Linked DNA regions of Xenopus tropicalis. The main gene of each other region encodes a partner of the protein of the gene in region 3 in a complex. Links are inferred from orthologs where the notes say so. Each region holds a gene or a part of one and is shown on either strand. Other genes may lie near its edges.

Region 1 (3,735 bases), on a different chromosome or scaffold from region 3:
GTTGCTGTATGCGAAGGCAGGGGCGAGCGGAGAGGCAGATCAGTATGCAACCTGCGATATTAATAGCGTAACGCTTTGTCTGGCTGATTTATGTGGTCCGTACAACGCAAAGGTGTTCCTATAGGATACATTTGGCGCCAAGATGGGAATAGGCTATCGCTGAATGCTATGGGTGGCCAACGTGCGGCGCTCTTGCTTCAAATACGCTACAGCTCCTGCGACCTTTGCCGTCGCCCCCCCCCCCATTGTGTATCCCCAGCAGTTGAAGACTATTGGGCGCTATAATTGAATAGCTATGGAGCTGAGGCTGATTTTCTGACATTAGGTGAGTGTGGGATCGCTCGGTTCTCACCTGTACAAATAACTCCTGATGTAACTTTATTGAATTCACGTTGGCTCAGCAGGAGTACTATACATGACAAGCTAGTTGCCTATAGCGACTTATGTCGGCATGTTTATATCGCTTGCTGGGCAGAGGGTATGTAAATGCCCTAGGGGCATGTTTCACAATGTAAAAGGGGCAGTCCTTATCGAAAGGGTACCCCACCTCCTTGCTTTGCACACGGTACTAAACCCCCCCTCCCTCCAAGGGGTGGGGGAAAACGCTCCTCTTCATTTGCATTGGTTTGCCAATAGCGGCGATAGAGGAGCCTTTTGCGCATGCGGCGATTTCCACAGCGGTGGCGTTCAGGCCACAGCTGGTACTGCAGCTAAACCATGGAAAAGAAAACAAGTCACCCTCCCCCATTGTTTGAGCAATGACCAATCAAACGGTATATTTTTTTTTCTCCTTTCTTTGGAGGTCTGGCCAATTGAAAGGCGAGAAGCCGGTCTTACGCCCCTCCCACTGATCTATATTAAAAGGACTGGCGCCGCGTGAGCTCTTCACTGGCAGTCATTATAAGAAATAAAAAGCCATCTTTGCATTGTTCCTGTAACACTCGCTTCCAGCTCCCGGGACCTGCACAATTACTTTGGTTTTTTGTATATAGCTTATTTTATTATATTAAGAATGTCCGACACAGCAGTGGACGCCAGCGTTGAGAAAACCCCCAAGGTAAGAGAGAGTTTGAGCGCTGAGAGGGCATTTTGTGGGCACAGTTGGTGTTATGAGAGCGGCTCAGCCCGCGATGTCCCTCACACTGGCTCTATGAATGTCACTGTGTTGGCGGGGGAGTAGTGTCTGTCAGTGGGAATATCTGAGCGCGGATCTCCATCTATTGTATGGCAGGGACCGGCAGTAGTTAGTAGTGGCAATGAAATCGGTTAATGGTTAGACAGTGCGGTACCTACAGATAACGAGTTAAAAGGCGCTGCGTGTGTGGCGTCCTGCTGGGATTAGCCATGGTCCTGATACAGAGTGGCACCCTGGGCGCATACGTGCCATCTCCAGCCTTTCCCCGGGCTTCATTGCTCAACTAGCTGCTAGTTCAGACTGCTATCTGTAAGTTTCTAGGTACTTGGCAGCGTTACTTCATAGCCCCGGAGCCTCTTCACTGGTTAGTCCCGGAGATTTTGCTCCAATGCATTAAAGGACCTCCGTGAGTGTGAGAAACGAGCGGGAGGTTGGAGGAGGTGGATAAGATGGGGCAGTGCGATTGAAGCTGCTAGTGTGACCCTTCTGCCGATCTCCTATTGTCCTGGCTTGTTATAGAAGCGCCCAGTAGAAGGCTGCGACCCTATCTGACACTTGTACCCTGCATGATGTCCCCTTGCCCCTAGCGCTGCCATAGGCTACGGTTATTGGTCCCAGTCGATTCGCTTTCTAGCGAGCGCCCTGTCTCTGTATATGAGAGGCTGGCGGGCACTGGGCGGGCTGCCAAGCTTCCCTTCAGCCCTGGGTATTTGGGGTGGAATTTGCTAGCTGGATGGTGCCACTGTTCTTCCCGCCTGTACCATGTAAGCGAGTGAGGCTCGGCTACCCAAGCGGGGAGGATTTGCTACGGGGGCGGCGGTCTGGATGTGGCGCTCAGTACCAGCCCAGGTGCCGTTTGGCTGAAACAATGTATGGCAGGTGTAATGCTCGCTGAGCGACAGATCGGGGAATCGCGCTGTACAACAGGGCATCCCAACTTTGTCAGTGTAGGAGGCCGATTATGCTTTTATCTACTGCTACGTGATGTATGTGGGGCACGCTTTTCATGTAACCGAGCTCTACAGAGCATCTGGGCCAACTGGGGACCGGGTGTGTTTCATGAAGGGTCCGGCCCGCGGGCCCAATGCTTTACACCCCCATTCTAAAGGAGCGGACCCATTTGGAGGTCATTACCACGGGCTTCCAGCGAGATGTGCGGGCTAATCTCCGCCATAAATAGCCTTGGCTGATGCCGAGCCCCACCTGCGCCCAGCTCTCGCCAAAACTCTGCTTCCGCCGCTCTGAGGGTTCCGAGAGCCCAGTGTGGCTCCCACGTGTAGGAGAGCTCCCTTTCCCTGTGTTATGGGCAGGTGAGGGCTGGGCTCATTGCAGGTAGGACTGGCCCTTTACTTTTATGTACTGCAAACAATTCGTCTTCCAGTGTGGCGCTGCTATGTCCCGGCTCCCTGTGTGCCCCTGACAGATTAGGGGGGGGGGGGGGTTACACAGCTGGATCATGCCGGGCTGGGAGATGGGTCACTTTGCTTGTATTGAGCCCGCTGTTCTCCACCACGTCCGGCGTCACAAGTCCTCTGGGGAGTCATTTATCCTACAGAGACTAACGCAGGGGGACAGATGGTAACTGGATTAGACTTTAAAGGCAGAGGCTTTAATTAGGAGGTGGGGGAGGGTTAATTACAGACCTTGCTAAACCATTACAGGCTACCTGCTTTATTGCGCAGCCTTCGCAGCTTCCTATCTAGCATACGAGCTGTCGTTTTATAAACCCCTTGCTAAAGCAAATATAATCTCTGGAAATATCTGACGGCTGGTTGTAATATACCGATTGAATTATGGAGTCTTCGTCTCCTCCATCGTCCGTCCCCCCTCGTTCTCTTGCTTGTCACCGCCCCCCCTGCATACATTTGTGCGCGTCACTACGTGTTGCCTTTTGGGTGTCGTAGTCTTTCTCTTCCCTCCCCTAGCGGGCGTGTCGCAGTAGGGAATTTTGAAAGAGAATAACCAGAGAACTACAAGTTCCAGGTGACTTTGCGCCAAATGGGGGCTGGAAATGTTAGTGTCGGGCCAATGCGCTGCTCCGGATGCCCTGATATGGACATGGGTTGGTCTTTGTACCGTAATGTAACCAATTGCTTTACCTAGCTGGTGGCGCCAATTTTAAAACTACGTATGGTGCGTGCAGGTACAGGGGAAGTCTTTTGTTCGTTCAGATGCCTGTTTATTCCCCATATTAACGCCAGGGGGATTCTCCATTACATGTAGAAGGTACAATTAAAAATAAGTGTGCTGTATCAAATATAGGTAGAATAAACACCATATAGTTACATTGCTAAGGATCCCAATTATTTTGCTGTGAATGAAATACAGAAAATACCTTAATTTATCATATTTTATCATTTACTACAAACCCAATTTATAGGCAGCCAGAGACAATGTACCGCTGCTGTTTCACATGCAGTATACTTTTTTTTTTTTAATAATTACTAAAACAAGTCTTAATCGATTTATCAAGTTTATACCATAAATCAGAAGTTTTTTTGCTCTTCATAAGATGTCTGTTGTGCTTAATGCTTGTCTCTGCCTGTTACTTCTCTGTACAGCTGGTTCTCTTTGTGTTGTTTGCCAGCAAACATTGCTCT
Region 2 (3,651 bases), on a different chromosome or scaffold from region 3:
CAATGGAACTGGCAAGCTCCTGCGTGACTGCTGCAGTCTCAATAGGTGCAGCCTGTTGGATTGGGATGAATTCCCCTGTCTCCTCATCTAATTGCAGTTGGGCGTAGAGTGCTTTTTCCCGTTCCTTCTGCAGCTGCTCTTGCCGCTCCTTTTCAAGCTTCTTCTGTTTCTCCAATTCATTTTCCTTCTGTCTTTGGTTATAGTCGAAAACCTCACGGCTAACACCGAGGTCAATGTCTTGCTTCCAAAGAATATCAATCAGATCCATATCCTAGAAGAAGTCAAATACATGGGGTTTAATGTCCTGATACTTTTTGGATAATTGTTCAACCCCATGAAGCAGCTATGAAATCCAACACGACTGATAGTGGTAGGTTACATCTTCAACTGGGCTTGGATTAAGCTGATGTGGTAATCTTTCAAGAGGCAGGTGAACATTACCTTCTCATGGGAAGTTGTGACACTGCCAGGTTCACATGAACATTCACACCCATGGGAGCAGACCTAATCTCCAGCTATATGCTAGTAATGATGGAGCAATGTTGAATTCTTTGGAAATGCCTTGGTCGGGAATTGTCAAAGTTGTTGCTCTCCAAATGCCATCAACCCCCTAAAAGCTAATGTTTCCAGGACTTTGGCATTAATAAGCATACAGTTGACAAGGTATATAATTAACTGACAACCCTGGATGTAAAAAAACGTACTAATTCTCTACTAATGGGGCTTAATTCAGGAATCCACATCTAGAAAAGTAAAAGATATAAAATGGATAAAAACAATACTGCTATAGGGTTTGCCTAGAAGTATGCAGGAATCTAACTGAACATCTAAAAGGTTTAAGTATAGACACAGACATGCTTTGATGGTAGCACTAGTTCTAAACCATGGGGATGAAACCAGTTAGGGGGCCTGAGGCAGTGAGTGGAGGAAATGGGGCTTAAAAAAAAAAAAAAAAGATTTGGAAGTAAATTGTTTCTTGTTCTACATTTTCCTGGAAGCCCAGCCTGAGGAACCAAATTAATATTTTAGACTTAGGAACCATGGCAGGATGACAATGTGTTCATAAATCTGTATCTTAGTAAGGAGACAAGGGATGCTTGAACCTGTGAAAAACACTGGTCTATATCTAAATATTAGGGAACAACCATGATTTTTCCTATGTTTTAAATATCCAATTTTCGCTTAGAAATATCTTCACAGCCTATTTTAGGTAAATGTAGGCGAATCTGTCCCATTTCGCTTCGCCGAAAAATTTGCAAAACGGCGGAAATGTTGCACGTAAAAAAAAAATTGTCACCGCGGCTATTCTATTGTCGCCCGCGGCTATACTTTTGTCGCAGGCGACAATTTTTGGACGCTCTGCAAATTTTTCCCCGGCGAATGTTTTCATCCGTTTTGCGAAACAATCCGCCAATGGTGAAATGCATTTCGCCCATCACTACTGGATATCAGTCTGTTCATCAAGCAGGCAGGTTTGAAAATGTCATCTGCCAATGCATATCTGCCAGGGCACTGTGCATCAACAGATGAGAAACTGAAGAGGAGCCACAGCTCCTAAAGTATTGATAACTGCTTTAAGATTACAGCCCTGATGCTACTGCATTATGTCGTCCAACAGGCATGTACCAGTGTTATCTCTCCCTTTTAATTTGCACCCCTGGAAAAGAATTGATCTATAATCAATATCCTAAAAGTGTGCTGAAACCGTGTAGCCCTAATGTGTCTCTACATGAACCAACAAGCTGTCACCTTTGGCCATCGTCCCCCCATTGTGTCGAGCTCTGGGCACCATCAATTGGCCATTACCAAATACAGCAGTGCTGAAACCTTCTGTCAATACCACAGAGAGAGAATTTGGACTACATTTTGGTTGCAAGAAGCTCATTACCAAACTCACAATACGACATCTAGGCAGCAACCTACCCAGAAAAACAATGCACATTTATACACTAGTAGGGCTCATTTATTATTGGCCAGTAACCAACCACTTGATGACCTCCACTCTCTTCTACTGTGGATTCCACCACACAAGCATGTTCAGCAGCTGCTTGTGCTCAGTTTTCTGAAGTGGACACAAGTAAAGTAGTGCATGAGTCATTAAAAGCTCAAAACTATGCTCCTCTAGACCTAATTGGCAGCTTAATGGCCTCCTAATATCCTTCCTGACCTCTCTGAAAATCAGCCAGATTATCTATCAATTTAGCAATTTATCTAGAAAATCAGCATGTTAACAGTTTTCTTTCAATCGGTCTCCATTATGATGTAATCACTAGCCTGGGAGCCTAACAATCCGTAACTGACCTTGTGAGTTGGCGGCCACAGCAGGTAAATACCTGGTCTAGCAATTTCGCAGCACATGACCAGCATACAGGGCATTTTGACCACCACTGTGCTCAGGCAACAAGTATGGGAAATCCTCACAGATGAGGGTTGTAGAGCAGTGGTTTGTGTGCCATGGCATGTTAGGAATACATTGGTAGTGGTGACACATCCATACCAAGCACTTTGTTTTTCTCCTGGGCACTGCGGCAGTCAAAATGCGTTATTATTGTTAACCCAACAGTTTATAGGATATAGTTTTCAATGAAGAAAGGTGTAAACCATATGCATTGATGTGACTTGGGAGAGATTACATCATGGGCCAAATACAAAAGCAAGTGGAGGAATATAATAGGAGGGTTGGTTGGAAACCCAATACTAACACTGGCTCTTTCAATCTAGTTTATTCCTCCTGTAACAAGATAGGCTGGTAAATACAAATGAAAAGATACAGATTACAAGCACTTTAGCACATAGCAAGAGTTTAACAGACAAGATGGGTATGGCTGAACCAATGATCAGAACGTTAAAGTCCATATGTTAGTATTATCCATTGTTTTCATAGACATTATATTCATGGACCTACGCAGGTTTTGTTTAAAGAGAATTTAAACCCCCAAAAAATCACAATTTGCCTAATGAAATGAAGAATTATAAGCAACTTTCCATTGTACCATTATTCTAAATGCTCAATGGTTTTAAAACTATTTGGAAAAATAACTGTGTGCTTGGGGAAGACACACAGAGCTACTTAGTAGCAGCTATATTTTCACTTCTACTAAATACCAGAAATACCCTGCCATACCATACCATTGCCTCTGCTAAAACACACGTAGAGACAATTATCAGTAAATGATCAGCATTGTCTATTTTAGTAGGCGTGACAAGTAGCTGCTACTAGTATCTCTGTGTGTCTTACCTCTTAAAAGCAGTATCTGTTTGTACCTTGCTATTCTCTGCTCTGGTGGTTTTGACTTTTAAAACAATGTAGCACAAGACTGCCTACTAACAAACCTATGAAGGAGCATACAAAGCTGACTTTTTTTTTTTTTACACGTTTCTAGAGACAGAACTGGCAGTGCAGAAGGGGACACTAGTGCTGCTTTCAATTGTAGTTATATGTAGAAATAAAACTGACAAGAGTAACCGACATAGCAGGCTGCCCACGTATTACACATTTCATGAGCAGAATAAAGTTGCCTATCTGGACTGTTAATTATTTATCAACCAGCATTAATCATCAATGTCTTTATACAGGAAAAGCTTCTTTATTGCGATACTTTATTGACACTTTATTGGAGGAGGACTTTTATAATACTAACCCACACAATA
Region 3 (3,651 bases):
ATTATCCCCCCACTGCTACTATAGGCACCATCTCTCCCTACTATACCTGCTATCCCACAGCCCCAGTCCCTTCCCAGAGGCTATTATCCCCCCACTGCTACTATAGGCACCATCTCTCCCTACTATACCTGCTATCCCACAGCCCCAGTCCCTTCCCAGAGGCTATTATCCCCCCACTGCTACTATAGGCACCATCTCTCCCTACTATACCTGCTATCCCACAGCCCCAGTCCCTTCCCAGAGGCTATTATCCCCCCACTGCTACTATAGGCACCATCTCTCCCTACTATACCTGCTATCCCACAGCCACAGTACTTGCCTGACAAGATTCTAGGGTGTCCCAGACAAACTTTTTTTTTACTTCACACAGCACTCCATTGCACCCAAGAGCACCCCAATTCTCAGCATTCATTGCTACAAAAACAGTGAGACCCACTTGCCCCACCTGTACCCACTAACATTTTGTTTTTCGTCTCTGTGGAAGATGATTAACACGCTATGTTCTCAGACCTCAGTCCTATCATTCGCGTCTCAAGGTCAAACAGCTCAGCGCCTTGCACAACACCATGAATAAGCATTGGGGAAAGCACAGAACGGAAACCACAGCGCTACGTGGATCTGCCAAATGTTAAAGGGGCTGCTCACCTTTGAGTTAACTTTTACTCTGAGACAATTTGCAATTGGTCTTCATTTTTTTATTACTTGTTAACTTTTTGTTCAGCAGCTCTCTAGTTTATAGTTTCAGCAGCTATTCGGTTGCTAGGGTCCAAATTACCTTAGCAACCAAGGAGTGGTTTCAATAAGACACTGATATATGAATAGGGGACAGCCTGAATTGAACAATAAGCTATAAAAAGTAATAACAATAAAACTGTAGCTTCACAGAGCAATGTTTTTGGGCTGCCGGGGTCAGTGAGCCCCCTTTTTTTTTTTGGAAAGAGACAGAGGAATAAGACAAATAATTCAAAAACGATACAGGCAGCTCATCTTTGGTGCGACTAGCATCGGAACTGCTGCTGCTGAACTTAGGAGCCTAAAGGGTGTTCTATCAAGCCAAAATGGCAGCATTAATGCAATATTTACACGCCACGTGCCAGGTAAACAGGGCACAAAAAAAATAAATAATGAAGACCAATTGAAAAGTTGCTTACATACTAAAAGTTAACTTAAAGGTGTACCTCCCCTTTAAAGCCCTGATACAGTTATTTGACTCACCTCCCCGAATTGCATGTATATATATTCCCGCGCCTTCTGGTGCAACTCGTGGCATCCGATCTGCTCCGCAAAGGTGGCTATGCCGATGGCGTTACTCGGGTCAAGCTGCTGGATGAGAAAGTCGCAGCAGGCCTTGACCACGCTGTCCATCTGGTACATGACGGCGCCGTTCATGACGTGGATGACGCACTTCTCTCCCACGGAAATGCTAGCTGTGTAGGCAAACTCCAAAAGCCGCTGCATGACTTTAGGGTGAACCCCCTCTATGGTAACGGTCTCCATGCCGCACTCCCGGAGGCCATTGGTAAACATGGCGCGGAACACGGGGCTGCTGGACGCCAGCACAATCTTGTGGGCCACAAACTCATCCTGGACGTCGTTGTACTTGACCTTCAGCTTGACGTCGCACAGTTGCTGCCCCAGCCGGAGCTCGTTCATAATCTGGAAGGCCTGGTTGGTGTGGTCGGCCAGGCTATACTGAAACTGCCGGTTGCCATTGCTGTGCGAGGGCGTCACTTCCGCCTGGCACTCTGTCGCGTACATTCCTGCTGCCGTCGGAAACGCCTAACGGGGCATCATTAGGGGGCAAAAAGATTTCTTCAAAACAAACCTATTGCCATTTTTCTTTAAAAAAAATATTTTAAAAAAATAAATTAACTGTGCAAAAAAAATGTGTCAAAAAGACCAATAAATTATTTCACGCAGAAAAAAAAAAAATATTACGGATACTTAATCCATATCAGTTTGTCCAGATTCTCTAGTCAGGAGTGATTTAATCCATCCCGGTCGTTTGGTTAACGGGGGGGGTTAGCAAATGAAAAATAAAAGTCTCTGCCTAGGGGTTGAGCATGTTGCTGGAGCAAACCCGGGCTACGGTGAGTCGGTGGGATCAAATAGGAGCCCTTCTAGTTCATTTTCTGTTTGATACCTGGAGAGGAAGAAGGAAGAGAAGTTGAAAGCTGCTTGTGATTAGCCGGGAATGTGCCAGAACGAGTGACGCCATAGAGTTATGACTGCTTTACACACATCCCATGTTTACCTGGCACACTGCGCGGCGTGTAAATATTGCATTAATGCAGCCATTTTGGGTTAATAGAGCACCCTTTATGCTCCTACGTTCAGCAGCAGCAGTTCCCATGCTAGTCGCACCAAAGATAAACTGCCTATATAGTTTTTGCATTATTTGCCTTCTTCTTCTGTCTTCTTTCCAACTTTCAAATGGGGGTCACTGACTCCGGCAGCCAAAAACTATTGCTCTGTGAGGCTACAATTTTACTGTTATTGTTACTTTTGATAACTTTTTTTTCTTTTCAGGCCCTCTCCTACTCATGTATCAGTCTCTAATTCAAACCACTCCCTGGTTGCTAAGGTAATTTGGACCCTAGCAACCAAATAGCTGCTAAAACTATAAACTAGAGAGCTGCTGGACAAAAAGTTAAAAAACTTATTTTTCTGTTCAGCTTCACTACTATTCATATATTGGTCACTCTCTCAAACCTCTCCCTGGTTACTAAGGTGAAATGGACTCTAGCAACCAGATAGCTGCTGAAATGTGAGACTAGAGACCCCGGCAGCCAAAAACTATTGCTCTGTGAGGCTAAAATGTTATTGTTATTGTTACTTTTGATAACTTTTTTTTCTATTCAGGCCTTCTCCTACTCATGTATCAGTCTCTCATTCAAACCAATCCCTGGTTGCTAAGGAAATTGGCACCCTAGCAACCAGATAGCTGCTAAAACTATAAACTAGAGAACTGCTGAACAAAAAGTTAAATAACTTATGTTTCTGTTCAGCTTCACTACTATTCGTATATTGGTCACTCTCTCAATCTTCTCCCTGGTTACTAAGGTGAAATGGACTCTAGCAACCAGATAGCTGCTGAAACGTGAAACTGGAGAGCTTTGAAACAAAAAGTTAAATAATAAAAAATGAAGACCAATTGGAAATTGTCTCGAAATATCACTCTCTACATCATACTAAAAAACTACCTCAAAGGTTTAGTATGATGTCGAGAGTGATATTCCGAGACAATTTCCAATTGGTCTTCATTTTTTATTGTTTGTTACTTAACTTTTTGTTCCAAAGCTCTCCAGTTTCACATTTCAGCTGCAATCTGGTTGCTAGAGTCCATTTCACCTTAGTAACCAGGGAGAGGTTTGAGAGAGCGACCACTATATGAAGAGTAGTGGAGCTGAACAGAACAAATAAGTAAAAATAACAATAAGTTAAATAAAAGTAACAACAATAAAACTGTAGCCTCGCAGAGTAATAGTCTTTTGGCTGCCGGGGTCAGTGACCCCCGTTGAAAGCCGAGCAAAGGCAGTAAATGAATGCAAATAATTCAAAAACTTTAAAAGATAAAAAAATGAAGACCGGTCGAAAAGTTGCTGAGAATTGGCCATTGTCTGCCCTGCTGGTTCTGACTTCTGAAACAAT

Evidence for each region.
Region 1: the proteins of keap1 (region 3) and ptma are in contact, whole or in part, in a crystal structure (PDB 2Z32), measured with the Mus musculus proteins. The link is inferred for Xenopus tropicalis from reciprocal best matches to the Homo sapiens genes KEAP1 and PTMA. Residues at the interface, in NP_001103775.1 of Mus musculus: Tyr334, Ser363, Arg380, Asn382, Arg415, Phe478, Arg483, Ser508, Gly509, Tyr525, Gln530, Ser555, Ala556, Tyr572, Gly574, Phe577, Ser602; in NP_032998.1 of Mus musculus: Gln40, Asn41, Glu42, Glu43, Asn44, Gly45, Glu46, Gln47.
Region 2: the proteins of keap1 (region 3) and nfe2l2 are in contact, whole or in part, in a crystal structure (PDB 3WN7), measured with the Mus musculus proteins. The link is inferred for Xenopus tropicalis from reciprocal best matches to the Homo sapiens genes KEAP1 and NFE2L2. Residues at the interface, in NP_001103775.1 of Mus musculus: Tyr334, Ser363, Gly364, Arg380, Asn382, Pro384, Asp385, Gly386, Asn387, Asn414, Arg415, Ser431, Gly433, Cys434, His436, Ile461, Phe478, Gly480, Arg483, Ser508, Gly509, Tyr525, Gln530, Ser555, Ala556, Tyr572, Phe577, Ser602, Gly603; in NP_035032.1 of Mus musculus: Leu19, Ile22, Leu23, Arg25, Gln26, Asp27, Ile28, Asp29, Leu30, Gly31, Val32, Val36, Phe37, Phe39.

The regions. Positions count from the first base shown.
Region 1 is NC_030681.2:101,064,870-101,068,604, reverse strand, and holds the start of ptma (prothymosin alpha), read left to right. Parts: upstream 1-903; 5' UTR 904-1,012; coding exon 1,013-1,057; intron 1,058-3,735.
Region 2 is NC_030685.2:65,686,964-65,690,614, forward strand, and holds part of nfe2l2 (nuclear factor erythroid 2-related factor 2), read right to left. Parts: intron 272-3,651; coding exon 1-271.
Region 3 is NC_030679.2:138,050,914-138,054,564, forward strand, and holds part of keap1 (kelch-like ECH-associated protein 1), read right to left. Parts: intron 2,144-3,651; 5' UTR 1,759-2,143; coding exon 1,216-1,758; intron 1-1,215. UniProt on the Homo sapiens protein: Substrate-specific adapter of a BCR (BTB-CUL3-RBX1) E3 ubiquitin ligase complex that regulates the response to oxidative stress by targeting NFE2L2/NRF2 for ubiquitination.